Tamandua tetradactyla: one gene and its partners. Each later gene encodes a partner of the first gene's protein in a complex. Links are inferred from orthologs where the notes say so. Each region holds a gene or a part of one and is shown on either strand. Other genes may lie near its edges. The genes, in order: EIF3J, EIF3D, EIF3L and EIF3B.

The links.
Region 2: EIF3J (region 1) and EIF3D share a complex: the UniProt entries of both Homo sapiens proteins name them as parts of the eukaryotic translation initiation factor 3 (eIF-3) complex. The link is inferred for Tamandua tetradactyla from reciprocal best matches to the Homo sapiens genes EIF3J and EIF3D.
Region 3: EIF3J (region 1) and EIF3L share a complex: the UniProt entries of both Homo sapiens proteins name them as parts of the eukaryotic translation initiation factor 3 (eIF-3) complex. The link is inferred for Tamandua tetradactyla from reciprocal best matches to the Homo sapiens genes EIF3J and EIF3L.
Region 4: the proteins of EIF3J (region 1) and EIF3B are in contact, whole or in part, in an NMR structure (PDB 2KRB), measured with the Homo sapiens proteins. The link is inferred for Tamandua tetradactyla from reciprocal best matches to the Homo sapiens genes EIF3J and EIF3B. Residues at the interface, in NP_003749.2 of Homo sapiens: Asp45, Glu46, Asp50, Asn51, Trp52, Asp53, Asp54, Asp55; in NP_001032360.1 of Homo sapiens: Lys202, Asn205, Val206, Ile207, Lys209, Ile210, Lys213, Asn249, Ala250, Asp251, Gly252, Tyr253, Lys254, Leu255, Phe261.

What each region holds. Positions count from the first base shown.
Region 1 is NC_135340.1:58,895,248-58,903,248, forward strand, and holds the start of EIF3J (eukaryotic translation initiation factor 3 subunit J), read left to right. Parts: upstream 1-4,623; 5' UTR 4,624-4,730; coding exon 4,731-4,925; intron 4,926-8,001. UniProt on the Homo sapiens protein: Component of the eukaryotic translation initiation factor 3 (eIF-3) complex, which is required for several steps in the initiation of protein synthesis.
Region 2 is NC_135333.1:28,870,602-28,878,539, forward strand, and holds the start of EIF3D (eukaryotic translation initiation factor 3 subunit D), read right to left. Parts: upstream 3,547-7,938; 5' UTR 3,365-3,546; intron 1,023-3,364; 5' UTR 1,014-1,022; coding exon 891-1,013; intron 590-890; coding exon 544-589; intron 1-543. UniProt on the Homo sapiens protein: mRNA cap-binding component of the eukaryotic translation initiation factor 3 (eIF-3) complex, a complex required for several steps in the initiation of protein synthesis of a specialized repertoire of mRNAs.
Region 3 is NC_135333.1:30,216,701-30,224,433, reverse strand, and holds the start of EIF3L (eukaryotic translation initiation factor 3 subunit L), read right to left. Parts: upstream 3,115-7,733; 5' UTR 3,015-3,114; coding exon 2,982-3,014; intron 2,656-2,981; coding exon 2,607-2,655; intron 1,922-2,606; coding exon 1,711-1,921; intron 1-1,710. UniProt on the Homo sapiens protein: Component of the eukaryotic translation initiation factor 3 (eIF-3) complex, which is required for several steps in the initiation of protein synthesis.
Region 4 is NC_135349.1:1,763,256-1,771,029, forward strand, and holds the start of EIF3B (eukaryotic translation initiation factor 3 subunit B), read left to right. Parts: upstream 1-4,494; 5' UTR 4,495-4,857; coding exon 4,858-5,377; intron 5,378-7,774.

The DNA of each region.
Region 1 (8,001 bases):
GGAACAGAATGGAGAGGCCTCCATGTGTACTCCCATCTGACAGAGGAGCCAAGGACCCAGGATCCTGGAGTCAGTCCCAGAACACCAGTCTTCAGGAAGAAAGCATGGCCTTGAGGACGCCATGATTTGGATTTTCTCTTAGCCTCAAACTGTGAGCTAGTAAGTTCCCACTGTTTAAGCTGACCCACTGCACGGTATTTGCTTGAACTGAAACAGGGCCCATGTGACGAGGAGCCCTGAAACTAAAGCTTCATTAAAGTTTCACAGTTAATATACTTCTGATTCCCTCTCTAAAATCAGCTATGATATGGGAGCAGACATGGTTTGGTGGGCCCATCTACCCTTGTGTGCTGTGGCAGTTTCTAGGAAAGAAGAAATCACTGTGAGCTCCCATTACCCCAGAAGTGTCATGTTCAGTTTAAAATAATCTGATCATTTAACTAACAAGAACCCAGCTTTCCTGATCACCAAATAAGAATTTTCCAATATACCACCTTCCACAGTATTTCACTTTTTTACCAAAAACATGGTGGAACTGGAAGGATACAAAAGAAGATGTATCCTCTCACTTTTTTCCTCTGGTTGCTGCTTAAATGTTGATATTCTTCCAGGTTTATTTTTATTTTTTCTCCCCACATGACCTCTACTTTCACATGATTTCATCTACCACCACAAGCAGATGAGTCCTAATTCTATACCTGTAACCCAGACCATCTACCTCCAAGGTAAATGTCAAAAATAGACCTTTCCATTTAGATATCTCCCAAGAATGTCAAGATCTGGGTGGTCAAAACTTAATTCATTCCTGAATTCCTGATTTATGATTAGAGACACTTATAAAACATTGAGCGTTTATTATATCCCAGGCTCTTATTATGTCCCAGGAATATAGTATTAAAGAACACAGACAGGATCCTTGTGCTCCAAACAGACATCAAATAAATAAGACCATTATAAATTGTGATAGGTGCTATGACAAAAATAAACAGAGCAATGAGATATAATAACTGGGTAAAGTCCCCTTGCAAAGAAGAGCAGGGAAAATGGTTTTCCGCAAAGGAAACATTTAGGCTTTGACTTGAAGGAGAAGGAGAAGCCAACCATGCAAAGAAATGGGGAAGAGCACTGCAGACAGAAAGAACAGCAAGTACAAAGCCTCCAAATAGGAAAAGACTTAGTGTGTCCAAGTAGCAGCAAAAAGAGCCAGCGGCAATTAAGTTAATGAGAGGAAGAATACCTGAGAGCGGTTGACAGGAGGCATAGGGGTCAGACTTTGCGATGCCTATAGGCCATGGTAGGAGTTGGATTTATTCTAAAAGCAATGAGAAGCCACTAAAGGATTTCACTTGGAGGTGGGGATGGGAAAGGGCTTATCACAATCTGATTTACAGTCTATAAGTAAACTGACTAGTGGGTAGCAAATGAATTATGGAGAGGGATGAGTGGAAGAAGGAAGACCAAGTGGGCAGTTATTGTAGAACAATACAGAGATAGCTTGGATTAGGGTGGTGGCAAGAGATGGAAGGAAACAAATGAATTAAACATTAATATTGGCACAGAGTTCAGTGATGGACTGGATTTATGGGGTGAGAGAGAGAGGGAAAGAAATCAAGGATAGGTCCTAAGTTTTTCTTTGTGGTTTGTGTGTGTGTGTGTTTATTGTTATTATAATTTTTTTAATTAGAGAAGTTGTGAGTTACAAAGCAATCATGCATGGTCTTGGGCTTTTGACTTGAGTAACCAGATGGGTGTCACTACCACTCCGTTAATCTCCAAAGACACTGCTGTTTTGAAAGGATGTATGCCTTAGAAAAGCCATGTTTTAATTAAAATTCCATTTCATAAAGGTAGAATAATCCCTATTCAACACCGCATGTTTGAAACTGTAATCAGATCATCTCCCTGGAGATGTGATTTAACCAAGGGTGGTTGTTAAACTGGATTAGGTGACGACATGTCTCCACCCATTTGGGTGGGTCTTGATAAGTTTCTGGAGTCCTATAAAAGAGGAAACATTTTGGAGAATGAAAAAGATTCAGAGAGCAGTGCAGAATGACATAGCCACGAGAAGTAGTAGTCCACCAGCCAGCGACCTTTGGAGATGAAGGAAAATGTCTCCCGGGGAGCTTCGTGAAACAGGAAGCCAGGAGAAGAAGCTAGCAGATGATGCCGTGTTCACCATGTGCCCTTCCAGATGAGAGACGAACCCTGACCGTGTTCACCATGTGCCTTTCCAGATGAGAGAGAAACCCTGAACTTCACTGGCCTTCTTGAACCAAGGTATCTTTCCCTGGATGCCTTAAATTGGACATTTCTATAGACTTGTTTTAATTGGGACATTTTCTCGGCCTTGGAACTGTAAACTAGCATCTGATTGAATTCCCCTTTTTAAAAGCCAATCTGTTTCTGGTATATTGCATTCCGGAAGCTAGCAAACTAGAACAGACACCATCATCTATTTCTCCCTTCCCCTCCTTCTCCATAAATCCTGTTGATTCTAACCCCTAAATTTTTCTCAGATCAGTTCCTCCCCCTCCATCATCATTCAGGCTTACGTGCTCCTTTAATTACATTCTTAAAATATTTACTATGTATTAGGCACTGTGCCAAATGTTGGAGATAACTGTAAACTATTAATAGAGTGTGCCCTCAGGGAGCATACAGTTCAGAGTTTCCCTGCCTTCTGTATTCTCTCCTTCGTAAGTGGTTGCCTGTAAATCACTGCCTTTCACACTTTAATGTGCAGACAAATGATCTGGGTATCTTAATAAAAAGGCAGATTCTGATTCAATAGGTCTGGGGTGGGTCCCGAGTCTGCATTTCTAACAAACTCTGCAGGTACTGCCCTAATGCTGATTAGACCACACACTTTGAGTAACAGGGCTACCACACACTTTGAGTAACAGGGCTGCAGACTGTCTCTTGAAAGAGCATCTTTGTAAAGTTTATAGACTCTCTCTGAAAGGGTACACGAGAGATGAGAAATAATGGTTGCCAGTGGGATGAAGAGAATAGCTGTTCAATGTGTATCCTTTCATACTTGGATACTTTATCAAGTATGTGTATTACATATTTAACAAAACAAAACAAAAGTATCTGAAACGGCTCGCCTCTTAAAATTCTGCAGTGGAGCTCCGTGGCCTAAAAAGCAGAGTGCAGTTGCTTAGTCCACCTTAAGTCCATTATGACTGGTTCACCTGGTCAGCCTTATCACCAACTGTGCCACTAAGCCACACTCAAATGCACACTCAAATGTGATCTTGGACCACACGCCCGGTTCTTTCTACCGGAAATACACCTGAGCACATTCCACTTGGTTTTTCAAACTCCAGCTTCTGCGGCGCCTATCTCGGAAAGACTTTCCTGCACCCTCCAGCCCCCCGCTGCCTTTAATGTTACTTTTTTACATTTAACCTCACAATGCTTCTTTTTATTGCAGTAATCCCAGTGTCAAAATCTGTTCACATGTCTACCTTTGCTACTTGACTGTGCCCTCCTTGGGGACAAGGCTAGAGTTTATGCCTAGCACAGAACGAGGAGCTCCGAAAATGTTCTGAGAAAAGAACGAACGAATCAATGTATTGGCCTCACAGAGCTCACAGGAAGGGAAAATCCTCGTAGATGGGGGCTCTCTTCGATCCCTTCATGACTAACACGAGGCAAGCGAGTCACAGGCTGGCTCCAAACACCCTGGCTAGGAGGCAAGAGGCTATCCCCTCCACTCGTTCTTTTCCCCAGGAATGCCGGCTTCCAGCCGAGTCCCCTCCGGCACGGGACGGCACCCTCTGGAGTCGAGAGGCCGGTCCGCCGCCCCCATTGGCTGGCCCTCTTCTGAGCGCGGCGTGAAGAGGCTGGGGGCCACGGGATCAAAGGGAAGGCGCGCCAGCAGAACGCCCGTGAGCGGGGCGGGGCTGGGGACGTAAGGGGAGGGCGGCGAGGACCTGCGAGAACCAAGTTCCAGGCAAGGGGCCGCCCTACGAACTTCGCCGCACTTACGTTTCCTCCCTCGGGGTCGGGCTGGACTGGCGCTCTCCTGACTGCTTCCTCTCTTCGGTCCCACCAGCCTCCAGGACCGTCCTGAGCTGGGAAAAAAGGCCCGCTTGACCCCGCCCCCGCCACTCCCAGTTCCGCCCCGCCCGCCGCGTTCCACGCCCCTTCCCAGCCCGCGCGCGAGTAGCCGGCGCCAGGAGAGGCGGGGCTTCGGTTCCGGCGCACAGTCAGCCACGGTCCCAGCCTGCCCCGCGTCCGCCAACGAGAGCAAATCCAGTGACTCACCTCCGCCCCGCTAACTCCGCGATCGCTCTTCCCATCACACACGCTCACACCCTGCTTGAGATGGCGGCAGCTGCGGCGGCGGCGGGAGACTCCGATTCCTGGGGTAAGGAGAAGTTCCGGGGGCTGGGCCCGGGTCTGCGCTGGCCCCACGCCGAGGCAGGCACTAACGCGGCTCGCTCTCTTCCGTAGACGCGGACACGTTCTCGGTGGAAGACCCGGTGCGGAAGGTGGGGGGCGGCGGCGGCACCGCCGGCGGGGACCGCTGGGAAGGCGAGGACGAAGACGAGGACGTCAAGGTGGGTGCGGACCCGGGAGCCGGGTAGCGCCGAAGCGGGCTGGCGCTCGCGTTGTCGCGGGCGGGATGCTCGCTGACAGAGGGGTAGGCGGACTCCGGGCCCGGGATCGATGCCCAGGCCTGCGGGGCCGTGGATCCAAGCAGAGCGTAGGGCTCTGTGATGTCCTTTCCCTCTCCGTTGACCGGTCAAATGGATCAGTGGCCGGCGTCATGGCCTTCCGGACTCCCTAACCGAGGGCGGCAGCGGCTCCAGCTCCAGCCCTTCTTTGAGGGTCCGCTCTCGGGCCTGGATCCCACCCACCGACTGGCGACGGGAGGTGACAGCAGCGCCCGGCCGGCCTGGCCCACGTGCAAGGTTCGCAGTCCGCTGCCACTAGGGGATGACGCTCGGAAGTTGGGAATTGAGCCCCATGGTTTATCCCATATGGAAAGTCTTCGACTCTCCTTCTTTTTCGAGGTTAAGTCTCTAGGGCCAGTTACTGATTAATGTTCTGGAAGTCCCATTAATGGTAGCGTGTGTTCTAGTTGTTAGATGAAATATTGTCGTTTAGTTTCAATCTTTTTGTCACGAGACAAATATAAGGCGAAATAAGTTTTAGCTTTCCCTTCCCCTGCATTGTGGTGAAAAGGATGAACTGAGCCTGAAACAGGTCGTAGCCTAGTGGTCAGACACCTAAAGTCCACCCAACTAACCCGAATAAAGGAGAATTGACATACTGAGTTATTCCTCTAGACATAGGTGACCCTAGGATGAAATAGTGAAGGTTTGGTGATTAGAGTAGATGAGAGTCCAATGTTTATTTAATAGCTACAAAAGTCTCATGTCCAGAATATTAGGACTCTCAAGCCATTATTAATTGATTTTAATAGTTTTAATTTAGAGAATGTTACTCTCCTAACTTCCTTCTTAGCACATAATGAGAACAGTACGATTCTTGTGCTTGGATTGAAAATTTTAAACCAGATAATCATTATGAATTTAATAGCACTGTTTGGATTTTCCCTTTTCTCCTGAGTCTGATGTGGTGGATGGCCAATTTCTTAACCTAAGGTTCAGCGATAGATGAACTTTGTAAGTATTGGAGTTAATAATTGAGTATTACTGTTATTGACTGAAGAAGTTTAGATGGTTCATTTACATGTTATATAGACATGGAGATGGAGTGTGTTACCAGACTCGTTACAAGATATTAGTTACCTCCCTGCAGCAGATCTTCAGTTTTGAGACTTTAAGTTCAAAATTTGTGCTTTCACTTTTTCTGTGCATACTCAGTGTGGCAGTTAAGATACCTATTATGAAAACTGGGGATGTTAGCAAATGAGAAGAAAATATTAGAGAGATGAAAAGTCACAGAAAATGAAGTTTGGATAAAGCAGTCTGGACTGATAAAATGAAGAAACCTGCCTTGGATTATGGGAGCTAAGTGGTGTGGATCTTGATAAATATAATTCTAATTACTTGGAACTAATTTTTGAGATTCACAAGTGGTTAGAGACCATAAAGGTTATCTTGTGCAGTCACTCCTTCAGTGCAGAACTTTTCTTTATATACAAATAATTTCTTTTCCCAAACTTTGAAGTCGATCTTGGAGAAGAAAGCTGAACTTGTCCATTATATTCCCATGTTGAAATGTTGATTTCTTTCTTTTGAGCTGCTCCAAGATTCTCAAGATTTGATTTCCATGGAGTAGTTTGATTCCTGGGCTTTGGAACCAGACAGATCTGGGTTTATATTTATATTATTGTTTTGACATTTTTTAGATTTGGGATCATAAGCATGTTTTTTAAACATTCTTTTTTAGTTTTCCAGTCAGTGAATTTCCCAAGTATAAATGGCCATTATAGGAACTACCTCATAGAGTAATTCTGCAGATCAAATGAGGTAATATGTTAAGAATTAAGCAGAATAAATATTCTCACTTCATAGGAGTTTTCATTTTTCAGGCTAACGGAAAATATGGCTAGGCTCTTGAGATCTAGTGTCTGTGCTTATTTTTTGCCACATTGCTTATGATTTCCTAAACTGAGAAATAGTGTTTTCCGCAGTGCCTATTTACTATGACTTTTGTGTTTTGAATGAAATGACCATAATTAGCAAGCAACTTTTTGCTTGCTCAGAGTTTGCCAGTCTAGAATGTTGTCATGTTTGGTGGTGATGAGTAACACCAGATTTCTGAATTCTAATGTTTTAAGGTATACTCTTTTTGTAAGGAGGCACAAACAGGGCTTAGTTTCCTTGAGACTAATACATAAATTAAAAAAAATTCAATACCAAGACATTATTATAAGTTCTTCAGTTTATGTCAGCATTTAATGCTTAATCTTTAAGAATATAGGCTTAAAACAAATTTTAAAAAGTAGGAGAACTGAGATGTTAAGGTAATTTACGTTGCTTACTATTTTCAGTAGACATTACAGCATTTTGCTGCCTTTGACTATCCGAGAGCTGTCTGGCAGTGGCAGAAGTAGATTTAGATGAAACTATAGAACTGTTTATATTCATGGAGGAAGAGGTTATGATTCTCCCCAGTTAGAAAGGTAAGAACTAGGGAGCATAGCTTCCTGTCTTACTGTCTTTATTCTGCTTTTCTTACTATCCTAGTATGTGGAGTCAGTGGGAAGAATTGTCTGCTTGGCATATGTTACTGGGCTCCTTCCCCAGTACTAGAATGTGATGTATACGCAGCACTGACTGAGACAGCAGTGAGCACTTACCCACAGAAGCAGGGACAACACAGCTTATACTCCTCTTTACTATCTTCCAGCATTTCAGTAGAACAGGTTAAAAGATAGACTTACTCAGAGGAAACTTCTGACTGTGTCCGTCCATCTTAGGTATTTGTTTCTATAACCTTATAATAAAATTTCTTAAAAAGAAATCCTAGAGAATTGACTTAGTAGAAAACGGCCTATCTTCATTCTACTCTTTCACTGTTTTGTTACGATCCTATCCCAGTTAATACTTTAAATCTACCAGAGTAAGGGCATTTTTCAGGCATTGAAAACAGCACTTCTGAAGAAAGGGACTATATTTTGGAGAAATGTGAGTTTCTTGGGAAATACTCAGGATGTGGGCATTTTACCAGGAAATGGGCATCTTGAAGTATGCTGTGCATGTGGAACTTACTAGGGAAAATTTCACACATAGAAGTAGTGAGAGAAGTTTAATAAACCCATTGGCAGTCTTATTTCTTCTATATCCCCACTGAGTCCTCCCTGACCAGATTATTTTGAAGAAAATCCCAGTCTCATCATTCTAGTACCCTGACAGTTTTTATGAACTAGCAAGTTTTGAAGTAGAAAGCATGTCTGTTATTGAAAAATATTTATCATATTTGTTATACAGGATCATTGAAAATAAATAAGCTACTTGTTTAGTGTTCTGCATCTTGATCTTGATTTTGCTCAGCTAGGACTTTTTTTTTTTGTAC
Region 2 (7,938 bases), on another chromosome or scaffold:
AATTGGAACCTGTATTTTAATAAGATCCCAGATGAGGTATATGCACATTTAAGTATGAAAAGTTCTGGTCTAAGGAGCTTTCTAAGCCAAGACACTGTCTGAGAAACTCAAGCTAAGCCCATTTCATTCTTTGCCTCATTCTGGAAAGATCTGATTCTTTAGTCTTATAAGAGAGGCAAACATAGGGCATATATGCTGCCATTTCTATCACCCGGTGCTCAAGGTGACATGTTTCACGGATCACAACAAAACTCCTTGCTGATCTCAGCCTCAGATAACCTTAACTTAGTGCTCTAGGAAGCTACTTCCAACCATCTCAAACAGAGACAAAAACCTATTTACCAGATTTGGAATTTAAAACTAGGGGTTTTAAACTGGGGGTCTACTGTTGGGCTTCAGAGGTTCAGTAAATCTCAGCCAATTGAATGCAAAATAGGAATATGTTCAACACATTTTAAAAAGTGTCTAGAAAGCTTTCAGATGCAGATTACTAGGAAGAAAATCGTCACAAGGTCCTGATCCAGGCAGCTGAAGAATACTTACTTGTATACCTCTTATCCTGGTATGTGGCACCTGTCCAGTCTGCAACCTATTAAGAGCCATAAGGGAAGACAGAGAAAACATAGATCAACCAGTTAAGTTTCTTGTGATCCAGAAATCCCTGAAGTGAAAGGACACAATGTGATAGAGTATCAGAAGAACTGGTTCACAATGGCTTTTTAAGCACCCAGTTTTCCTATGATTACTCACAGAGGTTATAATCTTTCTCAGCTGGTATCACTATAAGGAACACAGGAGTTTGGCTTGTGAGAGAATAAAACTCAAATAGGAACTCCTGGAGAGAAGTACCGTCAGTTTAAAAGATGCAGAGACCATGGACAGGCAAGTACCTTTCCTAGCCGATCTCCTTTGCTGAATGGCTGGTAGGGCATATCCCGAAACTGCTCAGGAACTGCACAGGGACCCCAGCCTGAGGGGTTGTCCTGAATCACAGGAGTCATGAACTTCGCCATGTTCTAAAACTAAAAAATACAGAAAATGTGAGTTGCTACATGAAGGAAGTTCCCAAAATACAATTCAAAAAGCAACACACAATACAGAATATTCAACTGTGAAACTCTTACCAGTGTTTTCTTATAAATACTCTGAATAGTTAAAACTCAGAAGACTACTAGCCTAGTTAACATCTTTGAATTAAGGATGCACCTTATATTTGATGGTATGTCATAGCTTAACTTTCTTAATGTTACATAAAATGGTACTTTTTAAAATTAATGGTGTCTCAGATTTGATGAAATATGATAATATTTTTTTCAAGTGTGGTAACCACATTTGGTTCTTCCTTCACCATGGCATAGAACACTTCCCTAAGCTTCAGTCCCTGCATCTGTAAAATAAATGGAATCTGTTTTATCTGTATCATTGGATCACTGAGAAAGTCATATTAATTAACACATTTGAAAATGCTGTCTTTGTAAAATGCCTTGCAATTACTATTTGACTTGCAAAAATATATTTCTGAACAGAGTACTTAGAAAAAAAAAGAATCCTTCAGTATACCTTGAAATCTGACTTTCTTCTGTTGTCTAGTTTTCTATTATTGATGCAAATCCTACATGGAGCAAGTGGAAACAGAGCGAGGTAAAAGGGCTGCCAGAAAGGTGAGGTCACCAAAAACTTTAGGGCGGGGTAAGGGGTGTGGTATGTATGATTCTTTCGTTTTTATTTCTTTTTCTGGAGTTACGCAAGTGTTCTAAGAAATGATCGTACTGATGAATATACAACTATGTGATGAAACTGTGAGTGGTTGATTGTACACCAAGTATGGAATGTTCATATGTTAAGAATGTTCATGTTTGTATGTTGTTTTGTCAATAAAAATATTAAAAAAATAAATTATGTATGGATGAAAAACTATTTACAAATATTATGGGCACTAAGCCTTGTTCTTAGTGCTTGACATGCATTGATTCACTACATCCTCCAAGGAATCCTATGAAGTTGGGGCCAGTGTTATCCCCACTTTCTAGATAAGAAAACCAACGCTAAAGCCGCAATATTGATATTGATAAGGAATTTGAACACAGGCAATCTGGCTTGAGTCCATACTGTGCTGCTGTACCACCACTGCCATCATCATCATAATGCCACAATAGGTCCCCTCAGGAGATCAAACACCAGGGACTCTACGGCAGATGCTTGCCTTATAGCTCTCATCAAAAGCCTATGCATTTATTCATTGTAACTCCCTGACAACACTCGGAAGCATTTTCCCAGAGGAAAATTCATCACACAAATATCTCCTGGAAGCTGGAGAGCAATCAAAGAGCACAGCTGTACTGAAATTGGCAAACTGTCCTCATGGCCCCAAGACGGGGAGGTTGAGGGTTCCTGGGTGACAGCAACAGGAAATGAACCTGGGAGCATCATCTTCCAACTCTGAACTGAAGCTATATTACAGGGAGAGGAGTTCAGAAGGAAAGGGGTGGCAATCGCAACAATTCACATCCAGTAAGTATTTCTTGAGCTCCTAATTACATGCCAGGAAATGATACTAGATACTTTATCATCAGTAATCCTCACTCTCCCAATTTTAGAGAATAAAAAACGAGAAGCTCAGCCAAATTCCACGCAGCTGATCTGTCCATGGTTTCAAAATAAATTTGATTTCGGGGGCTGTTTGCTGCAAGTCCAGCATTCTTTCCATTCTATTATAGATGGACAGCAGCCAGGAAATATCTGGGGCTTTCAGACCAGACTTCTCCAGGCGATGGGAAGTAGTACCTGGGCTTCAGGCAGTGTAAAATAGTGAGAATAGAATGAGTACGGAAAACTGAGCCGTTCAGGCAAAACTATAAGGGCAGCTGTACTGGCCCCAGGAGCAGGATAGGGAGGCATCAACAATGCAATCAGAAGGGTGGTTGGGAGGCCATAGTGTTGCGTAGATTACCACGGTCACCACAGACCGTACGCCATCAATCCCCGAGGACAACTGCATTCTACCCTCCCATTTCACAAGGAAACCAATGAACTGTGAGATCCTCAAGGCAGGGGCCGAACACCGCTCAGGATGGCACCTCCAGTATTAAACTCATAGGAACTCAGATCACTTTTGAAGGGAGACCCTGAGATCCAGCAGGTTTGGGCAACAACCAAATTTGCCTAGCCTAAGGCAGCTAAGCGGAGCCTAGAGCCAGGGACCTCACACACAGGGCTGGGTCCCCTCAACCCTCACTGGGGGCTGCTGAAGACGCGGCGGCAGGAGCCGACGTAAAAGAGGTCTCTTCCGGGAGGCCCTGGAACGCCGAACCCAGCCCGGGCCGCTTCCGGGGGCCCGCAGGGTCCCACGGAAGACCCCGCTCACCTGCAACGGCCTCGGCCGGCCCAGATTGCGATAGATGGCCTGGGTCAGAGATCGTGCCACCGACAGCTCTCCCAGGAACCGGGAAAGGAGGAAAGATGCGCGCGCAATAGCCGGCGCCGTAAACAAAACCGGCGCTGTCGTAAACTGTGCGCCATCTTCCTCCGGATTCGGCAGAAGAATGCATGAGCCGTAAAGCTAAGGCAGTCCCGGAAGTTCGTCACTGCTCTTTATGAGGTGTCGGCGTTATTCTCCGAGGCGCCTAGACGCAAGAGGGTGGTTACAGTTACGATCAGACGGCGTCCGGTGACGCTCAGCATTGCGACGTGGCAGCCGTGCAATGGAAGATAGTGGCTGCGAGAGGCTGACAGACGCGCTGTATCCCACAGTGCTTCAACCGTCCTCTTCGGTACGCAGTGATCCGCGGCTCCTCCGCTTGCTCTAGTTAATCGTCTCGTTTGATTCTCACAGCAAGCGGGAGGAGCGAGTTTATTAATTTATTATTATTAACCTCCCCTTTTACAGTTGCGGACGCTGAGGCCGCCAGGTTCATGGTTCAAACGCTACTTACACAGTTTTAAACTTTATTGCTCGTCAGAGGTTTCTGGAGCGCTAGTTTTAATAAATGCAGGCTACGGATCTCACTTTCGTAGATTGTTATTCAAGTAATCTAAGCAGGAACCCAGGAATCTGCAATTTAATTAGCAACTGTGAGTCTGAAGTGGGGGACTCAGAAACACTTTACATTAGGCAAGTGTTGTCCCTTCTGCAGCTCCCAGCCAATAGATTTTGTCCAGGAGTCTTGAGCGGTTTCAAAACATTCTTCAGAAAGAAGCTGGGTGTGACTTTATTAAAATCCCAGATCCTTTTGTGCCTTGCCTCCTTGGTTTCCTGATCATACAGTTTGGAAGACTGTCCTTCATTGAAAGACATATCAGACCTTCATCTCTCTGAGCCTCAGTTTTCTTATAAGTAAGAAGGGGCTGATAATAAGGGGATACTGTGGGGGTAAAAATAGAGAATGCATGTCAAAGTACTTAGTAATTCCTCTAACCTGTTGGGGAACTTGGACAACTTATTTAACCTCTTTAAATCTTACTCATCTGGAAAATGAGAATGTGATAGCAGCGCCTATCTCCATAAGTTCTCTCCCAGTTGCCCTTGTTCTAGTTTTTCTGATTTTTGTTTGTGACAGCCAGTGAGTGGTGTTTAGGGCAAAACTTGTAGTCATAATTGGTAGCTCCTTTTCCCTTTGCATTACGTTCATTAAATACTCATTATTCAGCTTCCAAAATATATCTTAAACTACCATCTCTAGCCTGCAAACTTGGACTCCCACTCTTGCTTCCCTACGGCCCATTCTCCACATGGTGGCTAAAGCATCGTTCACAACCTTCTAGTGACTTCCCATTGTGTGCTTAGAATGAAATAAGAATGTCTTCCCATGGCCTGCCTGGTACTTGGTTCCCTTTCCACTTCATATGCTGCTGTTCTCCACTCACTGCTCCAGCTGCCATGGCTTTTTTGAACCCTGAACCCATCAGGCAGGGCCTCTGCACTTGCGTTCCTTCTACATGGCACACTCTTCCACAAATCAGCTCATGGTTGGCTTGGTCCCTCCATCTATGTCGCTACTCCAGAGTTGCCTCCTCAGAGAAGTCTTTTCATACCATCCTTTCTAAAATAGCTACTTTCCCCTTCATCCCTCCTCCTTCTCTGCTTTGTTTTCTTCATAGTTCTCATCACCATGTGAAATATTTGTTTCTTTGTTTAGGGTCTGTCTCCCCTCTAGAGTTTAAGCTACGTGAAAGTGTGGGCTTTGTCTGTCTTCCCTAGAGGAGTGTCTGGTAGTAGTATTTGTTGAATTGATTGTTGAATGGATTGGGGTTTTGGACAATTAAATGAGAAAATGCATGTAGCACATTACCCTGGGCACATAACTAAGCAATCAATAAATGCTGATATAAAATTAATATCAATAGTAAATTGAGTGTGTTCTGAAATATAAGGGCAAATGTATTTTTATTGATTCGCTTGGATCGTGTCTTTTCTTTTTTTGCTGTGGGCCTCTGGGCCATCTGCTGCAGCTTCCTTCCATGACTTGCCCAGTGTTTAATAATTTTCCCCATGTTTTGGTTCAGATGTCCCTGCCCACACCAGAGGGAGGAGTGCATGGAGTGTCCCATCTCGTTCTTTGTAGTGGGTCCCTGGATTTGGGTGAGAGATCTTGCCCCTGTTCCTCCTCCCAGCTGAGACTCCTGCTGCCACTATTTCTGCCTCTCCTGGTGCCCAATCTCTAGATGGCAGGAGAATGACCCTCCTTTATACTAAATCAGAGCATGCCTCATCTTCCCCAACTTCCCTGCCCTTAAAACCCTTCGGTGGCCTACCATTACTCTGAGGGTAAAGTCATAAACACCATTCCATGACCTACAAGGCCCTAAATGATCCTTCTTCCCTCTCCCAACTCAACCCTACTGTCTCCCCTTTCCCTTACTAGCAGCTTCCTCTTTCTGGAACACATCCAAGCCAGTTCCTACCTTTTAACCTGCTGTTCTCTAGGGCCTGGAATGGATTTCTCCTAGATTCATGTAGGCCTGTGTTCTTATCGAACAGGCTTTGTGTATGTGTGTGTGTGTGTGTATTTAATATTTTTATTGACAAAACAACATACAAACACAAGCAGTCTTAACATATGAATATTCCATACTTGATGTACAATCAATGCCTCATAATATCATCACATAATTGTATATTCATCACCGTGATCATTTCTCAGAACATTTGTATCACTCCAGAAAAAGAAATAAAAAGAAAAAACTCATACATACTACACTCCTTACCCCTCCTTCTCATTGACCACTAGTATTTCCATCTACCCAATATATTTTAACCTTTGTTCCCCCTATTTTTTTCCTATACCCCTTACCACTCTCATTGATCACTAGTATTTCAGCCTACTCAATTTAACACTTGTTCCCCCCATTATTTGTCCATATCTTTTACTCATCTGCCCATACTGTAGGTAAAAGGAGTATCAGATACAAGTTTTTCACAATCACACAGTCACATTGCAAAAGCTATATCATTACACAATCATCTTCAAGAAACATGGCTACTGGACACAGCTCTACAGTTTCAGGCACTTCCCTCTAGCCACTCTAACACACCTTAAACTAAAAAGGGGATATCTATATAATGCATAATAATAATCTCCAGGATAACCTCTTGACTCTTTGAAATCTCTCAGCCACTGACACTTTATTTTGTCTCATTTCTCTTTTCCCTCTTTTGGTTGAGAGGGTTTTCTCAACCCCTTCATGCTGAGTCCCAGCTCATTCTAGGGTTTTTGTCCCATGTTACCAGGGACGTTTACACTCCTGGGAGTCATGTCCCATGAGGAGAGGGGGAGGGCAGTGAGTTTGCTTGCCGTGTTGGCTGAGAGAGAGGCCACATCTGAGCAACAAAAGAGGTTCTCTGGGGGTGGCTTTTAAGGCCTAATTTTAAGTAGTCTTAGCCTGTCCTTTGTGGGGATAAGTTTCATATGAACAAACCCCAAGATTGAGGGTTTGACCTATTGATTTGGTTGTCCCTAAACAGGCTTTTCTTGACCACCCTTCTGAGCTGCTTCACTCTGCCTCATTAACTTTTTTTTATATTGTTACATTGAGCTTGTCGCTTACCTGGTACTTGTACCAAGACTTGCGTTAACTTATTTAATCCTCATCGCAACTCTGTGAGATAAGGACTATTATTCTCCTCATTTTACAGATAAGGAAGGTGGGGGTACAGTAAGATCACACTACATGCTCTAGGTCAAACAGAATACATGGCAAAGGTGGGGCTCAAACTCAGAAGACAGCCTGCCTCCAGCATCTTCCCATATCCCATTACTGCTTTGTTGGGATCCTAGCATTTATGTCGATCAGAAGTTACCGTACATTTATTTGCTTAATTATTTATTGTCTCGTTAGAAAGTTAGACTCCTGAGAGCAGAGGTTTTCCATGTCTTTTGTGTGGTGGTATCCCCAGCACCTGGAATCATGCTTAGCACTGGTAGGTTCTTGGGAAATGTTTGTTGGATGCATGAATGAACTCCCGTGCATCCATGGCAGATCCTTCCACTGCTGCTCTTGTCATATGCCTTGTTTTATTACTTAGGGGCCACCTAGATCTCACCCCCACCCCCAGTCTCTGGACTCCTCCAGTGTGGGGCTGCATTATTTGGGGTTGAACTGTCAGGGCTCAGCACTCCACCTGGCACCCAGAGTATGTGCCCAGAGATGAGGCCTTTAGATACTGTTGCTAGAGACTGAAAAAACAAACAAAAAAACCTCAGCGTTCTTGCCAGAGAAGTGTAGATTTGGGGGCAAGTGCCCTATTCTCAAAAGGAACTCTCATTTAGTCTTTCTGGTTTGAAAAGTTACCCCACCATCTTTTTCCAGGGAATTTAATAACTAATTTTTCATTATTGCTAATAACAGCTAATCTTAGCACAGCGGTTTATAAGCAACTACGTCATTTCTGCCTCATGGTGACAATATTTTAATATTAATTTTGCGGATGGTAAAATGAGA
Region 3 (7,733 bases), on another chromosome or scaffold:
AAACAAATTTCTTACGGCACCAATCAGTCTTTTCACTTAGCATTCTCCTCAGGAAGGATCTACCCTATGTTTGCCTTCAGCTACCAGCTATATCCCTCTGTGCTATCCATTACAGTAGGTACCAACCACATGTGGCTGGCACGACTGAGGAAGCGAATAACTTGGGTATGTGAGTCTACCTTTAGAACTGTAAATTTTAAGAAATACCTACAGATCAAGTATTTACAATGAAAATGTAGTATGTGAACTGAGATATTCGATAAATGTAAAACACACATTAAACTTAGAAGACTTAGTATGAAGACATAAAAGATCTCATTAACAGTCTTTGTTGTTATTGAACAGATTTTAAAGTTGGTATGGGTTACAATTCCACAATTTTAGGTTTTTACTTCTAGCCGCTCTAAGGTACTGGAGTCTAAAAGAAATGTCAATATGATTCAGCACTCATAATCACTTGCTATACCCTACCTTTTCTGTACAATTCCTCAATTACCTTTGATCTTTCTCCCACTCTTTAGGAGTATCTGGGCTATGGCCATTCTAGCTTTTTCATGTTGGAAGGGGCTGTCAATAATATGAGATAGGGGGATGGAACTAGCTGATGTTCTGGAGAGGCTGGCCCCTCTGCATTTCAGGACTTATCTGGTCCAGGGACCCATCTGGAGGTTGTAGGTTTCTGGAAAGTTAATCTAGCAGATGGAATCTTTGTAGAATCTTATATAATGCCCTAAGTAGTCTTTAGTTTTGACAGGAATGGTTTTGGTTGAGGTTTGGCAAGTTATGATAAGAAGCAACGTCTAACTGAAGCTTGCAATGGTTTTTTTTTTATACTGATTATTTGCAAAATTATATTTTGGGTACATGGGATTAAATAACATTAAAATGAATTTTAACTGTTTCTTTTAATATTTTTAATGTAGCTGCTGAACATTTTTAAATTACACTAGTGGCTAGTATCATGTTTCTATTAAATAGCAGCGGCCTATATATTTCTCATCAGAAAGGCCTGAGGAATGAAGGAAACAGATCAGGGATTAAGGTGCTCCTAGTCATTGACTCAGTAGGCCTCGAACCATATTGCTTTCACCATTCACCCTTCCAAGACTGGCTTAAATTCTATTACCTTGGCGAAGACTTTCTTTACTATCCCACCCTGGACTGATCCACCTCAGCTCTAATGCCCAGTACACGAAGGCAATCCTCAAAACACCAGAAGCAACCACTCTGGAGCCTGGCACACCACAGCACACACCGAGAGGTTGTAAAGCACAGAAGTTCAGAATTAGGCTCTGGTGTCAGACTGTATAATTTCAAAATCTAGCTCATCCACTTAGCTTCTACATACTTATACTCATGCACTTATCCCCTGTGTATTGTTTCTTCACCTATAAAAACAGGAAAACAACAGGACCTACTTCATAGGGTTACTGAGGAGGGTAACAAATAAGTCCAAAAGTACTCTGGGTACTGCCTGATCCATACTGATAATACATATTAACTGCCATTATAATTATTAACATAGCTACAGTTATTTAAGGCTTTATACAAATTCCTGGAGCTATAGTCCAACAAAATAACTTTCCCCTTTCCTACTGAGACTCCTGGGCAGTTTCTTCACAGAAAATGATTAAACAGCACCCCTTCTGTAGGGCCTGAATAGCTAGGCTAGTACCACACAGTGAGGTTATTTTGGCCAGCAGCACATACCTGTTCTCGTAGATGTCCTGGATCTCATACACCTTCTGGTCAATGACATCACTGGAGACTCGACTGGCCTGTAGCTCATAAACTTTCTGATCAATCAAATCTGAGACGGTTTTGTGGAAATACTGGATAAAATTTTTTATCACTTCAGGAATCACCTGATATGTCTGCTGTTCATACTGACGTTCATAAGCCAGGTCCTGCTTTGGATCTCCTACAGGTTGGATATAATAAATAAATAAATACTTTACAAAGTGCTCTCAGACCCATATTATGTGATGTAATGAAAAAGGCAGGACCATCCCCAAGTAACCATGAGCTAAATTCAAGTCTATGAAATTCAGTGTAACTCCCCTTTAAACAACTCAAAGAGATATAACCTTCCCTAAGTTGTTCTCCATCCCATCACCCTATTTCTTCAGGACATTTATCACTACTAAAACGATTTACTCAATTATTTGTTTTCTCTACTAGAAAGTAAAGTTCTAAGTACTAAATCAAGCCCAGTCTTTGTAAATTGTACAAAACCTCAAAGCTCCTCTACCCCACAAATACTTCATTTGAGTATGGTTTGAATCATTTCAACTTTTCACGTCAAAATTCTCTTTTTCGGCTAAAAGTTAAAACAAAGAGACCACAGTCTGGCCAGTCAAAAATCCTTCTCTTCTGAGACTGTTTAGACTGACCACAAAAAAGGGGGGGGGGGGGGAGAGTAGGAGGTTAGTTTATTAGATTCTACCCAACCCTCCCACTGAGAGTTAATAACTGACTCCAAGCCTGGACCATCAAGTAGCAGTTTTTAAGAGATACCCATCAGAGCTGTTCTGAGCCATTCAAAAAGGTGCCAATCCCTAAGATAGTCAAACAAACTCTTACCTGTATGTATATACAGGTCTTACCTGTATGCATATCATAGTCACCCGGGTAAGCATATGGATCATAAGCAGCCTAGAACGACAGACACACATAGTCAACAATTTGTGAATCCACAACCTTCGTCCCACGGGCATCCTGCGTCAAGTAGGAAGCTAGGGATACAGGCATGGGCAGGGTACAGCCTCTGTAGTCGGTCCCGAAAAAGGGAAGGACGAAGATGACCAGGCAAGAGAAGCGGGCGGGGAGACGGTGGCAAAGGAAGCCGGAGCTGTGGCTACTGCATAAGGGCCACGCGGGAAGGCAAGGCGAAAGCGAGACACCATCTCTCCCCGAGGCCCAGCACCCAGAGAGCCCCTGCCCAGGTCGTGGACCCGACCACGCGCTTACAAGCATCCTACCTCCGACTCGTAATCATCCGCGGGGTAGGACATAGCAGCAAAACTCGCGAAACCGCCGCCGAAAGAGAAAAAGAAATGCCACCGCCTGCCCTGTGAGACCGGAACTTCCGACACTTCTCGGTCCTGCTGGGAAACCGGAAGCCTTGCTATAGCCGGCGGCCACCTCAGATAGCCATGTTCGGAAGGGCTAAAAAAAAAAATAATAATAATAATAATAAAATAACTACAAGGCCTAAGTTCTTTCTATTTTCTTCAAAGAGAGGCTTTGAAAGAAAGTCACGTTATATGACTTTCATAAATTCAGAACTAAGGGCATGAAATAGTTCGGCATAAAGGGCGGGCAAATTAAGTCTCCTATGAAATGCCACACAAAAGATGTCTGACAGCTTCCTGGGTCCGCCTTCTTGCGTGAAAGGATATCCGGACGTAGGGGGCCTGACTACGGATTTAGGTGTGGGAGGCTTGCCTGAGGCAAATAACGTCTTCAAACTTTCCGGCCTCAAGACCCTAAATTTGCTGTGTTACAGTTGAGTCTTGGTTTCATTCAGTGAGGTGGTATTGAGAAAAGGCGCTCCCAACTTTGCACATTATGATTGGAGCAGGCAAGAACGAAGCCAGCTGTTTCTGTAGCAGAGAAGCTAAACTATCTATAGTTGGCCTAAGAGTTTATAGCAGAGGACCTCTTTTGTTGCTCAGGTGTGGCCTTTCTCTGAGCTCAGCTCTGCAGGGAAGATAGTTGCCCTCTCCCTACAGACATGACATCCAGGGGTGAAAGTCTCCCTGGCAATGTGGGACATGACTCCAGGGGATGAGCCTGGCCCTGGCGCTGTGGGATCACCTGCACTTTCCTCACCAAAAAGGGAAAGAGAAACCTAACAGAGTGAGATATCAGTGACTGAGAGTTAAAGTGAAGTCAAAGGGCTATTCTAGAGACTACTCTTACACAAGCTTTAGCTAGGTATTGCTAATTTCCACAGTTTGCCAGACCCCAAACAAAACCATTCCTGTTAACCCTGAGGAATACCTAGGGCTCTGTCTGAGATTGTATATAAGTTTCATGTACTAAGTTTATTTTCTGGAAATCTACAACCTCCAGATGGTTTCCTAAGCCAGGTAAGTCCTGAAATCCAGAGGAGCCAGCCTCTTCAAGAACATCAACTAGTTCCATCCCCCCGTCCCATATTATCGACACCCATTTCCAACATGAAAAAGTTAGAATGGGCAAATAACTCTAAAGATTGGGAGGGGGGTGGGGGGAGAGGGAGAATTAGAGAAGATAGGGTTTGGTGAATGACCAACCTAACTCGTTATATTGATATTTCTTTTAGTCTCCTGTGTCTTGGAGTAGCTAGAAAGAAAAACCTGAAATTGTGGAACTGTAACCCATGTCAAACACTGAAGTTTGTCCTATCACTACTTGTTACAATGTAGGTTGAAATTTATTGCTTTTTTTTTGTATATATATTTTGCAAGAAAAATGTTAAAAAAAAAAAAAAAAAAAAAACAGAAATGCCAGAGCCAGCTGTGGTGTTGTGGTGTGAAGCCCTAGGGCGAAGCCTGAGATCGAGTCAGCGCTTGAGCACCCAGGCTGTGCATTGTGATCGGAGTAGTAAGAGGTGCTCTTAGCTCTGCGGGAGCCCTGGAATTAGGGATGGAAGCTATAAGACAAGCCAACAGAAACCGGGAGGGGGCCTTGGTTTAGCCATCTGCCCGTTTACAATACCAAGACAGGAAATCTGGGTTCCAGTCCCTGCTATGCCTCTGATTTGCTGTGTGGCCAGAAGCAAGTTTCACCCTCTCTGGGCCCTAGCCTCCATATTTTCTAGTTATACTACCCTCTTTGCTTTTCCCATCTGCTTCAGGGCTTTTCTGCTTAGAATTACCTGTATCTAAATTCTAGAATGCAGTCCTTACAGACATCCACAAGGCATGCTGCATCACTCCTTCAGGTGTGTTTACTGTCATCAACTTAGAGCATCCTATTTTAGAATTACAACTCCCAGCTCCAGTGCCCTTTGCCCTGTTCTTGCTTTGTGTACCTTAGTTGCAGTGTCATCAAAGGTGTGATTAATTTACCATGGAACTAATGGAGCTTAAGTTTCATGTCTCTTTGATTCACCAGGTCTCTTCCATGACTCAGGAAGAGTAGCTAGCAATGTACTCACATGGTCAAAATTTGCCAATATAATATTGTTACTGCAATTGGTTCCAACCACTCTCTCCACTCTAATTCCCTTCTTTGCAATTCACACTATGTCTGTTGGCATTTGGATCTGGCAGAGGAAATCTAGTTGGGAACATTTGGGTTTAATAAGATGTATGTAAGTGACACTGCTCCTTCTGTGCATAATTAACTTATTGCAGGTCTCCCTAGGTAGGACACTTACCATCCCCTGTTGTCAGTGAGTGTCATCAATCAATTATGGAAAATGATAATATGAAATTGTCATATAAAGAGGCAACCAAAGGGCGGGCCACGGTGGCTCAGCAGGCAAGAACGCTTGCCTACCACGCCAGAGGACCTGGGTTCAATTCCCAGTGCCTGCCCATGTTAAAAAAAAAAAAAGAGGCAACTAAAGAGTAATTTGTCAGCCAAAAAAAAAGAGAAAACATTATGGAAGTGTTTCAGAACATTAACAAATATGTTACTTCTCTGGATTTGTGATGTTTGTGGTAGTTGTCACCTTTAAAAAATTATAATTGTTTGAGTTCTCAAGTTGTGCTGTGATTTCTCCTTCTAAATTGATACTCTCTTTCACACCTGGCTTTGTGTAATTTTCTAGTCGTCATTCTTCATATAAGATTCAGGCCCCACTGAACTTGGATCTCTTGTTTATAATACTATAGCATATATTTTATTTGTTAGTTTTTTTCTTTAAGACTTTCTACCCTCCTGTACACTCTAGTTTAGAGAATCACGATGCAAGTTAGAATGGTAAAGGCTCTGAGTGGAGCCTCTGCACTGGCTTCTTTTTCCCATTTTTATTAGTTCCTCATCATCTCTCCAATCACTAAATAGTGAACTGCTCTATCCTTCCTCGGTTGGTCCTTGGGTCTCTTCATTATCTACCTCACTCCCTGTCTCAGCCAATCCAGTATACTTAGATATCATCCGTATGCCACTAACTCCACAGATTTCTCTCTCTTCTCCAGACCCCACCCCTGACGTGGGCCCCTGGCCCATTGCCTGTTCCCATCACAACCTGAATATTTAATAAGCACCTCAAAGTTAATATCCAAACTGAACTCCTGACCTTCTGCTTCAACCCTGCTCCTCTCACAGTTTCCCCCATCTCAGTGAAGGGCAACACATTTCTTTCAGTTGCTCGGGCCTAAACCTCCAGAGCCATCCTTTACTCCTCTATCTTTTTACACCCCACATCAAATCCATCTGCAACTCTTGTTGGCTCTACCTTCAAAAATATTCTCAGATTCTCAGTTCTTACCACCTTGGTCTCTATTATCTTGGTTCAAACCACCATCATCTCACCTATATTATTGTAACAGCCTCCTCACTCTTCCTGCTTCCACTCTCAATCCATATCTGTCGAACTGCATTTAGAATGAAACTTACTCCACAAGCTGTAAAGAATAAAGTAAAACTGTCTTTATTCACAGATGGCATGATACTCTATATAGAAAATCCTAAGGACTCTACAAAGAAGTTACTGTAATAAATTTATCAACGTTATGTGAAATATGGTCAGTATGCACAAAAAATCTATTATATATTTTTTAAATAAAAAATATATTATTATATACTGGTTGTGATGATTAAGTTTATGTGTCAGCTTGGCCGGGTTATGGTGTCCAGTTGTTTGCTCAAACAAGCACTGGCCTGATTGTTACTTTGAGGATATTTCATGGATTTAAATAATCGTTAAGTTGATTACATCTTCTACAATCAACTGAGAAGATTGCCTTCAACAATGAGATAAGACTCATCTAAAAATAATGTATTAGATTAAATGTCCTTATAGTTAAGTCATTGTTACTTGCAGCCTAAAGCCGTCTTAATATGCCTTATCCCTTCATTTTATATTTTACACATAGAATCTTCTGTGTATTTGATTCAGGATTTGTAAATTCCAGAAGAAACCTGTGCATAAAATGTTATCAATGTTTTCAAATAAATTTATTGAGATATTAAAAAAAACTGAAACTTACACCATTGCGTTACATTTTCTTAGAAATGAAACTTTGCCCTAAAAGCAGATGTTTAGATGCCCTAAAACAGACTCTGAGATGTCTCATCACAGGGTATTTGATTTTGCAATGTTCGCTTGTTAATGGAAAAGCAGCACTTCAAAGGGAAGGAAACTGAACAGACCAAAGCTCCTGGAATAATTTTACCCAGGAGAGCTGTCTATAGAATTTGGGAGCTGTAAAGCTTCCCTGTTTTCTCTTGATCTTCTTTTGCCTGGGGGTTTGAGACAGGAAATTCCCTGAATCGGAAAAGCCATTAGTGCTATTTTACAGTCTGCCTGGATTTTTCAGCTGTGTTCAGTTCAAGCCCCATTTCCCACTGCATCCTGGGGTTTATATGAAGTTTACTTACTGTCCTGTTTGTTTCATTCTCCTGAACATGACCTTGTGACCCCTCTCCAGATTACTGCAATAGCATATGGACCCTAGGAGAGCAGTAGCTCTTGGCTTTGTCTTTATAAATCAGAACCAGAAGCATCCTATGGATCATCTGGTATAGAGGTCACTAAAAATCCAAACTAAGACTGCTAGATATAAGAACTACAT
Region 4 (7,774 bases), on another chromosome or scaffold:
ATAAAGTGTTGGAGAGGGGAAGCACGCTATAATTTTATGAATAAAGCTCAGTTTCTCACTGCCCCTGAGTCTCTGAGCTGTGACTTTCAGAAATGTTTCTTCTTCTTTTTTTTTTAATCTTTTTCCTTGAGGGCAGACTTCTGTTATAGAGCATTCTCTGGGTATTTCAAAATGCTTACTTTTCTCCTAGACATATTTTTAAAATGGCACTTTTCTCCTCCCCTACTCAAAGCACAAGGGGATCTTTATCAAATCTTCACTGGAAGAACCTGGCAGAATTCCTGGAGGCAAAGCCTGTGAGCGCGTAGTGGCCCCTCCAAGATTGGCTCCCAGGAGCTTTTAATTCTCCAGGTGGTCCACAGTCAGCCTCCAACGATTTATAAAAGTTACCATCTAAATGTGCCAACCAGCTGCTGGTGATGGGTTAGATTATAAAGAGCCTACTGTGTGCTGTCTATAAAACCTATTTTAAATATCAAGATACTTATATGTTAAAAACAAAAGGATTAAAAGTGTTATCTTATACAAACGTTTAACAGGAAACTGGAGGGTACCTATATTAATAGCAGACAACATTGACTCCAGAACAGGGAATATTACCTAGGATAAAAAGGAACATTTTTAATAATAAAGGGGTTAATTCAGCAAAAAGACATGGCAATCCTAAATATATATGCACCTATTATACCTTCAAAGTAGATGAAAGAAGTGATAAAACTAAAAGGAGAAGTAGGTAAATATATAATCACAGTTGGAGAATTCAACATTTCTCTTTCAGCAATTAATAGAACAAGTGGACAGAAAGACAGAAAGGTTTCAGAAGATGTGAACAGTACTACTAACCATCTTGACCTGTCATTCTTTGAACATGCCACCCAATGACAGCAGTTGCTTTCCAAGTGTACAAGGAACATTCAAGTTAGACACATTCTAGGCCATGAAACACATCTCAATAAATCTAAATTTCTATGACTGCAATCACACAAAGTGTGTTATCTGTTGTGCTGGTTTGAAAGGATGTATGTCCCCTAGAAAAGCCATGTTTTAATCAAAATCCCATTTTCGTAAAGGCAAAATAATCCCTATTCAATACTGTATGGTTGAAACTGTGATCAGATCATTTCCCTGGATGATGTGATTTAGTCGAGTGGTTGTTGAACTGGATTAGGTGGAGGCGTGTCTCCACCCATGTGGGTGGGTCTTGATCAGTTTCTGGAGTTCTATAAAAAAGGAAACATTTTGGAGAATGAGAGTGATTCTGAGAGCAGAGCAGAAACACATAGCTATGAAAAGCAGAGTCCATCAGCCAGCAACCTATGGAGATGAAGAAGGAAAATGGCTCCTCAGAGCTTCATGAAACTGGAAGCCAGAAGAAGCTAGCAGATGACGTCATGTTTGCCACGTGCCCTTCCAGATGAGAGAGGAACCCTGACCATGTTCACCATGTGCCTTTCCAGATGAGAGAGAAACGCTGACTGTGTTTGCCATGTGCCTTCTCACTTGAGAGAGAAACCTTGAACTTCATCCGCCTTCTTGAACCAAGGTATCTTTCTCTGGATGCCTTTGATTGGACATTTCTATAGACTTGTCTTAACTGGGACATTTTCTCGGCCTTGGAACTATAAACCAGCATCTGATCAAATTCCCCTTTTTAAAAGCCATTCTGTTTCTGCTATGTTGCATTCCGGCAGCTAGCAAACTAGAACATCTGTCCTCAAGAAAATTAAATCCGAAACCAGTTACTGAAATGTATCTGGAATACCTCAAATATTTGGAAATTAAACAATACAATTTTAAGTAATCTGTGGGTCCCAGAAGAAATCATAATGAAAACTAGAAAATATTTTGACCTGAAAACATAACATATAATTGTGGGATGCAACTGAAGTAGTGGATAGAGGGGAATTTGTGGATATAAATTTAAGGCTTTAAATTCATGTGGTATCACCCTGTCCATTATAAAGTTACCTGTCAACTCTCATCAAATGGTTTCAGAAGTGTTGCAGGATTATTGCTTAGACTCATTATTTCTGAAGGACTGAAAAATGTTGTTTTCCTAATTTTATTGAACTTTCTGCATATAGTAGCTAGAATTCTTTTACAAAAAGAACTTTCTCTCACCAAATATTTGGCTATCTAAGGGTCAAAGAAGAAAAGCAAGATAAATTACTTTTTGCTTGAGTCTTTTATTTGCAGAATAACTGCCCAGCAATATTGAGCTGTGATTAACAAGGTTGTCTTTTTAAAAAATTTTTTATAACAATATGAACGTATAGATTTAAATATGCCATGTACATGAATCAAATGCAGTTTTTATTCTTTTTGAGGCTCAAACTGTCCTAGTGGAGGCCTTTGAAGATGGCCTGAGTCATTCTGCCCCCAAATTTTCAAATATACAGAAAAGTTAAAAGAAATTTTACAGTGAACACTCACAAACTCACCACCTAGATTTTATAACTAACATGTTTCTTGAACTCACATCATCAATCCCTTTCATTCTCATCAACCAGTTCTCAGTTTAGTGTGTACTCTTCCAGATCTTTTTGTACAGATTGTAAATACTGACCAAAATTATTCATAGAATATTTATAACATGATGCGTATTTTTTGTAATTGATATCATACTGTACATATCAATGTGCAATTAATAACCTTAACCCCATATGCATAAGTGCTAACCACGTTATCACATACAGATCTAGTGTGTCACTTACCTATTGTTAAATAACACATTACCCCTCAAATTGGGGGGTTGGGTTTAAAACAATAAACATTTATTATTTTGTGGCTCTTGTGCGTGAGAAATCCCGTAGCAGCTTGGGGGATGGCCCTGGCCCCCCGCTTCTCAGAGTTGCATCAAGATGTTGGCTGCAGGGCAGGTACCCGAAGCTGCTGGAGGCAGGAGGCCCTGCTCCCAAGGCGTTCAGATGTCCGAGACTTCACTTCCTCCACCTCTGCGGCGTCATCACCCTGATGACGAGCTTCTTTCAGAGCCGGAGATCCAAGAGAGGGAGGGCCAGGCGGACTTATCAGACTCTATGACGGAGACCTGGAAGTCACATAACCTCATCTCTGCTGTCTTCTGCTCACCAGGGGCGAGTGACAAGCCCACCCACATCAAGAGCATGATCCGGCGACACCTTCTGCAGGGAGGAGTGCCCCGTGACTGAAGAACCGACCACAGACGCACTGCCACACTCACTTCTGAGCTTCCACTGACGACGGTCGCCCCACGACTCGGCGATCCCTCCAGGGCGAGACCGCCGTAGCCGTCCCCACCGCGCGCGCCCTGCACGCCCGCTGCACACACGCGCTGACCGAGCCTGGGCATCGCGTGCAGTGCCTCTTACACGGCCGAGGGGCTTAGTGCTTTTTCTAGAAGCTAAGAGACAATGTTCCTATTCTCTCTGCAGAAAAGGCCATGCCAAGTCCGTTCAGTGCAAAATCCTAGGGAGCAGCTGCTCCGCGCAGGGCGAGCGACGCTGCAGAAGTCTCCCCCGCGTCCAGCTAAGGTCAGCCGTCTTCAAGCTTTTTGAAAAGCTTGGGTTCATATTTGCTTCTCATTCACTGACCTGTCCCCTTCCAGCACGTTCCATAAGAAGAGGGTTGGCAGAAGCCAACGATTTAAGAAAACGAGGTGAAACTAGAAATGGAGAGGATCCTTTGGTAATGAAGAGAACTAGCTCGCTGCCGGACCCTTCTGGGAGAAGGGCTCCCAAGATAGGTCCCACGTGCCGCGCACGTCAAATGTGCGTCTCACTGCGCAGATGGGGAAACTGAGGCAGCGGGGCTCGGGGACTTGCCCCGGGTTACACAGCTGACAGGATGGGGAGAATTCAAACACAGCAGACGCAGCCACAGAACCCTCGTTCTTCTTAGTATGATCGAAATATCGCACATTCAGCGGTTGCTGTGAAGCTTCGCAAGGAAAACCGAAATACAAACCCGGGCAAACCTCCCCTAAGCCGCCTCAGCTCACCCCTCCGACGCTCCCGTGTGGCTTCCGGCCCCGCCCCCCGAGGCCACGTGATCCGCCCGGTCTCGCGGCCGAGGGCGGAAGTCTCGGGAGTCCGAACCATCGTGAAGTGAGAATAGGGAGACGGCAGGAGTACAGCAAGCACTGTGCGATTGAGCGTACACGGTTAAACCACGTCTCATAAATTTTTGTTTTGGCCCAGGCAGCCATGTTTCCAGTACTGTTAGTGGCCTCTGCCTCTCCACAAATTCCTTTCCTGTTTTGGAATCGTCCGTTCTCTCGCTCTGTCAGTAGACAAGTCTAAGAGCCGAATGTAATGGGGGAATTTCGTAATGTTAGCGAAGTGATTTGTCTAGCTAAAAGCTATGGCATCAACCAAAGTCGCTTTTCGAACTTAGAGTTTTCCTAATATTAATATTTTATTTAAAGTTTAAATTTCATAGAAGTTCGTTTACAAAGATAATTTCTTAAGTCTCCCTTCGGCGTCACAAATAGTACAGTCCGCCGTAGCGCCCCATGGGAAAAGGAAGGGAGTGGTTGCCATGTTGGATTGAACCAACCCGCCGTCTCAAATGGGGTAGTTATGGTGCACGTTGAGTTTGCCGAGCGATGAAAACCTTGATGATTAGAATTGGCAACATAGTGGTCATACTGATATAGTTGTAAGGATTGGTATGCATGTCGTTTACACTCTAGGTTTTGTCAGTCGCTGTGGGAGGGGTGTGGGTGCCCCCCTCGGTCCTGGGCGCTTTGGTGCGGACTTCCCGGGGCGGACGCACATGGCTCGGGAGTAGGAGCCGGCGAGGCGCGCGGTGCGACCTGGGAGAATCGGAAGCGTGGCGGCGGCTGGGTCTGAGGAGAGGGAGGCCGCGCCCGGGCCCATGCAGCACGCGGAGAACGTGGCGGTGCCCGAGGCGGCCGAGGACGGGGCCGAGCCGGGGCAGCCGCAGCCCGCCGCCGAGCAGCCGCTGGAGGAGGAGCCGCCGCGGCCCGCCGGGCCCGCGACTCGGGAGGCGGCGGTGACCGAGGACAAGCCGGAGGCGGCGGCCGAGCCCCGGCCCGAGCTTGCTCTGAAGGCAGAACCGGAGGTCGAGGAGAAGGAGGCGGACGAGGCCGCCGCGGCCCTCGGCGCTTCCCCGGCTTCGTCTCAGCCGCCCTCGCCCGCGTCCGAGGAGGAGCCGCCCAGGTCGCCGCCCGGGTCCCCCGCCCCAGCGCAGGGGCAGGCGCGGGAGGAGGCCGGAGGCGAGGCCCCCGAGAGCCGGCCCCAGGCCCCGTCGCCGGAGGCGGGCGTGGACGCGGAGAAGGCGGAGGAGGCCGAGCCGCAGGCGGTGCAGAACGGCGACGCGGACGAGCCCTCGTTCAGCGACCCCGAGGACTTCGTGGACGACGTGGGCGAGGAAGGTGAGGCGGGCCCGCGGCCCTCTTCTCTGCCCTCTCGGTTTCCGAGATCTTAGTCGGGGTGTGAACGACGGCGTCCCCACGTCCCTCCTCCCGGGACAGCTCGAAGAGAAAGTTTTAGAGCCGTGCGGTGTTTGCGGAGAAGTCCCGGGTTCTGGAAACACGCCCAGGTGTCCTCTGACCGCGTTAGAAGCCGGCAAGGGAGGTGGGAGCGCCCTCCATCCTCCATCCCTCGTGGGGAGCCACTCTCGGCCCGGACAGCCTGCCCGCCTTCAGCTCTGTTCTGCCAGGACAGATTAGAAACGGCGTGGCGGGGGTCCCCTCGTCTGCGTCCCCGCCGCAGATCGGGGCGCGGGCTGGGGTTGGCTGCCTAGGCAGACCTCAGGGACGGACCCCGAGGCGGGGACCCGCAGAGGTGGAGCCACAGGGCCCTCTCTCCCAGGTGTGACAGCTTCCAGGTGTGCAGGCGTGAGTGCTCTCAGAGGTCGCCAGCCAGGCCCCCAAATGAGCTGCAGGAAAAGCGGGCTCTGACTGCTGAGTGTGGGCTGGTTCCTACCCCACAGTGCGGGCTCACCCCTACCCCACAGTGCGGGCTCACCCTACCCCACAGTGCGGGCTCACCCTACCCCACAGTGCGGGCTCACCCTACCCCACAGTGCGGGCTGGTTCCTACCCCACAGTGCGGGCTCGCCCTACCCCACAGTGCGGGCTCACCCCTATCCCACAGTGCGGGCTCACCCTACCCCACAGTGCGGGCTCACCCCTATCCCACAGTGCGGGCTCACCCCTATCCCACAGTGTGGGTTGGTTCCTACCCCACAGTGCGGGCTCGCCCTACCCCACAAGTGCGGGCTCACCCCTATCCCACAGTGCGGGCTCACCCTACCCCACAGTGCGGGCTCACCCTACCCCACAGTGCGGGCTCACCCTACCCCACAGTGCGGGCTCACCCTACCCCACAGTGCGGGCTGGTTCCTACCCCACAGTGCGGGCTGGTTCCTACCCCACAGTGCGGGCTCGCCCTACCCCACAGTGCGGGCTCACCCCTACCCCACAGTGCGGGCTCACCCCTACCCCATAGTGCGGGCTCACCCTACCCCACAGTGCGGGCTCACCCTACCCCACAGTGTGGGTTGGTTCCTACCCCACAGTGCGGGCTCACCCTACCCCACAGTGTGGGTTGGTTCCTACCCCACAGTGCGGGCTCACCCTACCCCACAGTGTGGGTTGGTTCCTACCCCACAGTGCGGGCTCACCCTACCCCACAGTGCGGGCTCACCCCTACCCCACAGTGCGGGCTCGCCCTATCCCACAGTGCGGACTCGCCCTACCCCACAGCGCGGACTCGCCCTACCCCACAGTGCGGGCTCGCCCTACCCCACAGTGCGGGCTCACCCTACCCCACAGTGCGGGCTCACCCTACCCCACAGTGCGGGCTCACCCTACCCCACAGTGGGGGCTCACCCTACCCCACAGTGCGGGCTCACCCTACCCCACAGTGCGGGCTCACCCTACCCCACAGTGTGGGTTGGTTCCTACCCCACAGTGCGGGCTCACCCTACCCCACAGTGCGGGCTCGCCCTACCCCACAGTGCGGGCTCGCCCTACCCCACAGTGCGGGCTCGCCGTACCCCACAGTGCGGGCTCGCCCTACCCCACAGTGCGGGCTCACCTTACCCCACAGTGCGGGCTCACCCTACCCCACAGTGCGGGCTCACCCTACCCCACAGTGCGGGCTCACCCTACCCCACAGGTGTCTGCCTCCAGAGGTGTCTGAGCAGGACGTGCTGGGCCGAGGCCCTGCAGAGTCCTGCTAAGCCTATAAAGCAGGCTGTCATCATTCTCTTGCAAATTATCTTTCCACATTTGCTTCAGTTCTACCTTGAATGACTTTCAGGCATTTCTGCTTCTGTCTGAGGTCCTGTTTCTTAAAGTGAGTTTTGTTGATGGCTGATCTCATTGTTTTTATTTCTTTTGTTTTGTTTTGTTTTTAGCTTTTATTTCAGCAAGCTGGAACCCCATCCATGGATTCATCTACCTATTGACTTTGTACTAAAGAGAAAAATGAAAACACTGTATTGAAGTAGACAGTGATAAACCAAGAAAATAATATCTTAACACGTGGTGGTCAGATGCAAAGTTTTTTGTGAGGTTGTGTCTTTTCATAGAGGTTCAGTCACAATCACACAATCTTTTAAAAAGTAGAATGAAAAATTCAGGGAACCCAGTATTTTTCAACTTTTTTGAGCAGATTTCTAAAGGGTTACCAGTTACTTTATTATTCTTTATTTCATAAGATTAAAAGACATTTTGGCGTTAAGAAAAACAACAACAGAAAAAAACAAACTAATGAAGACCTTGAGCAAGCTGACCTTTTCTAAGCCCCATATCCCCAAGATG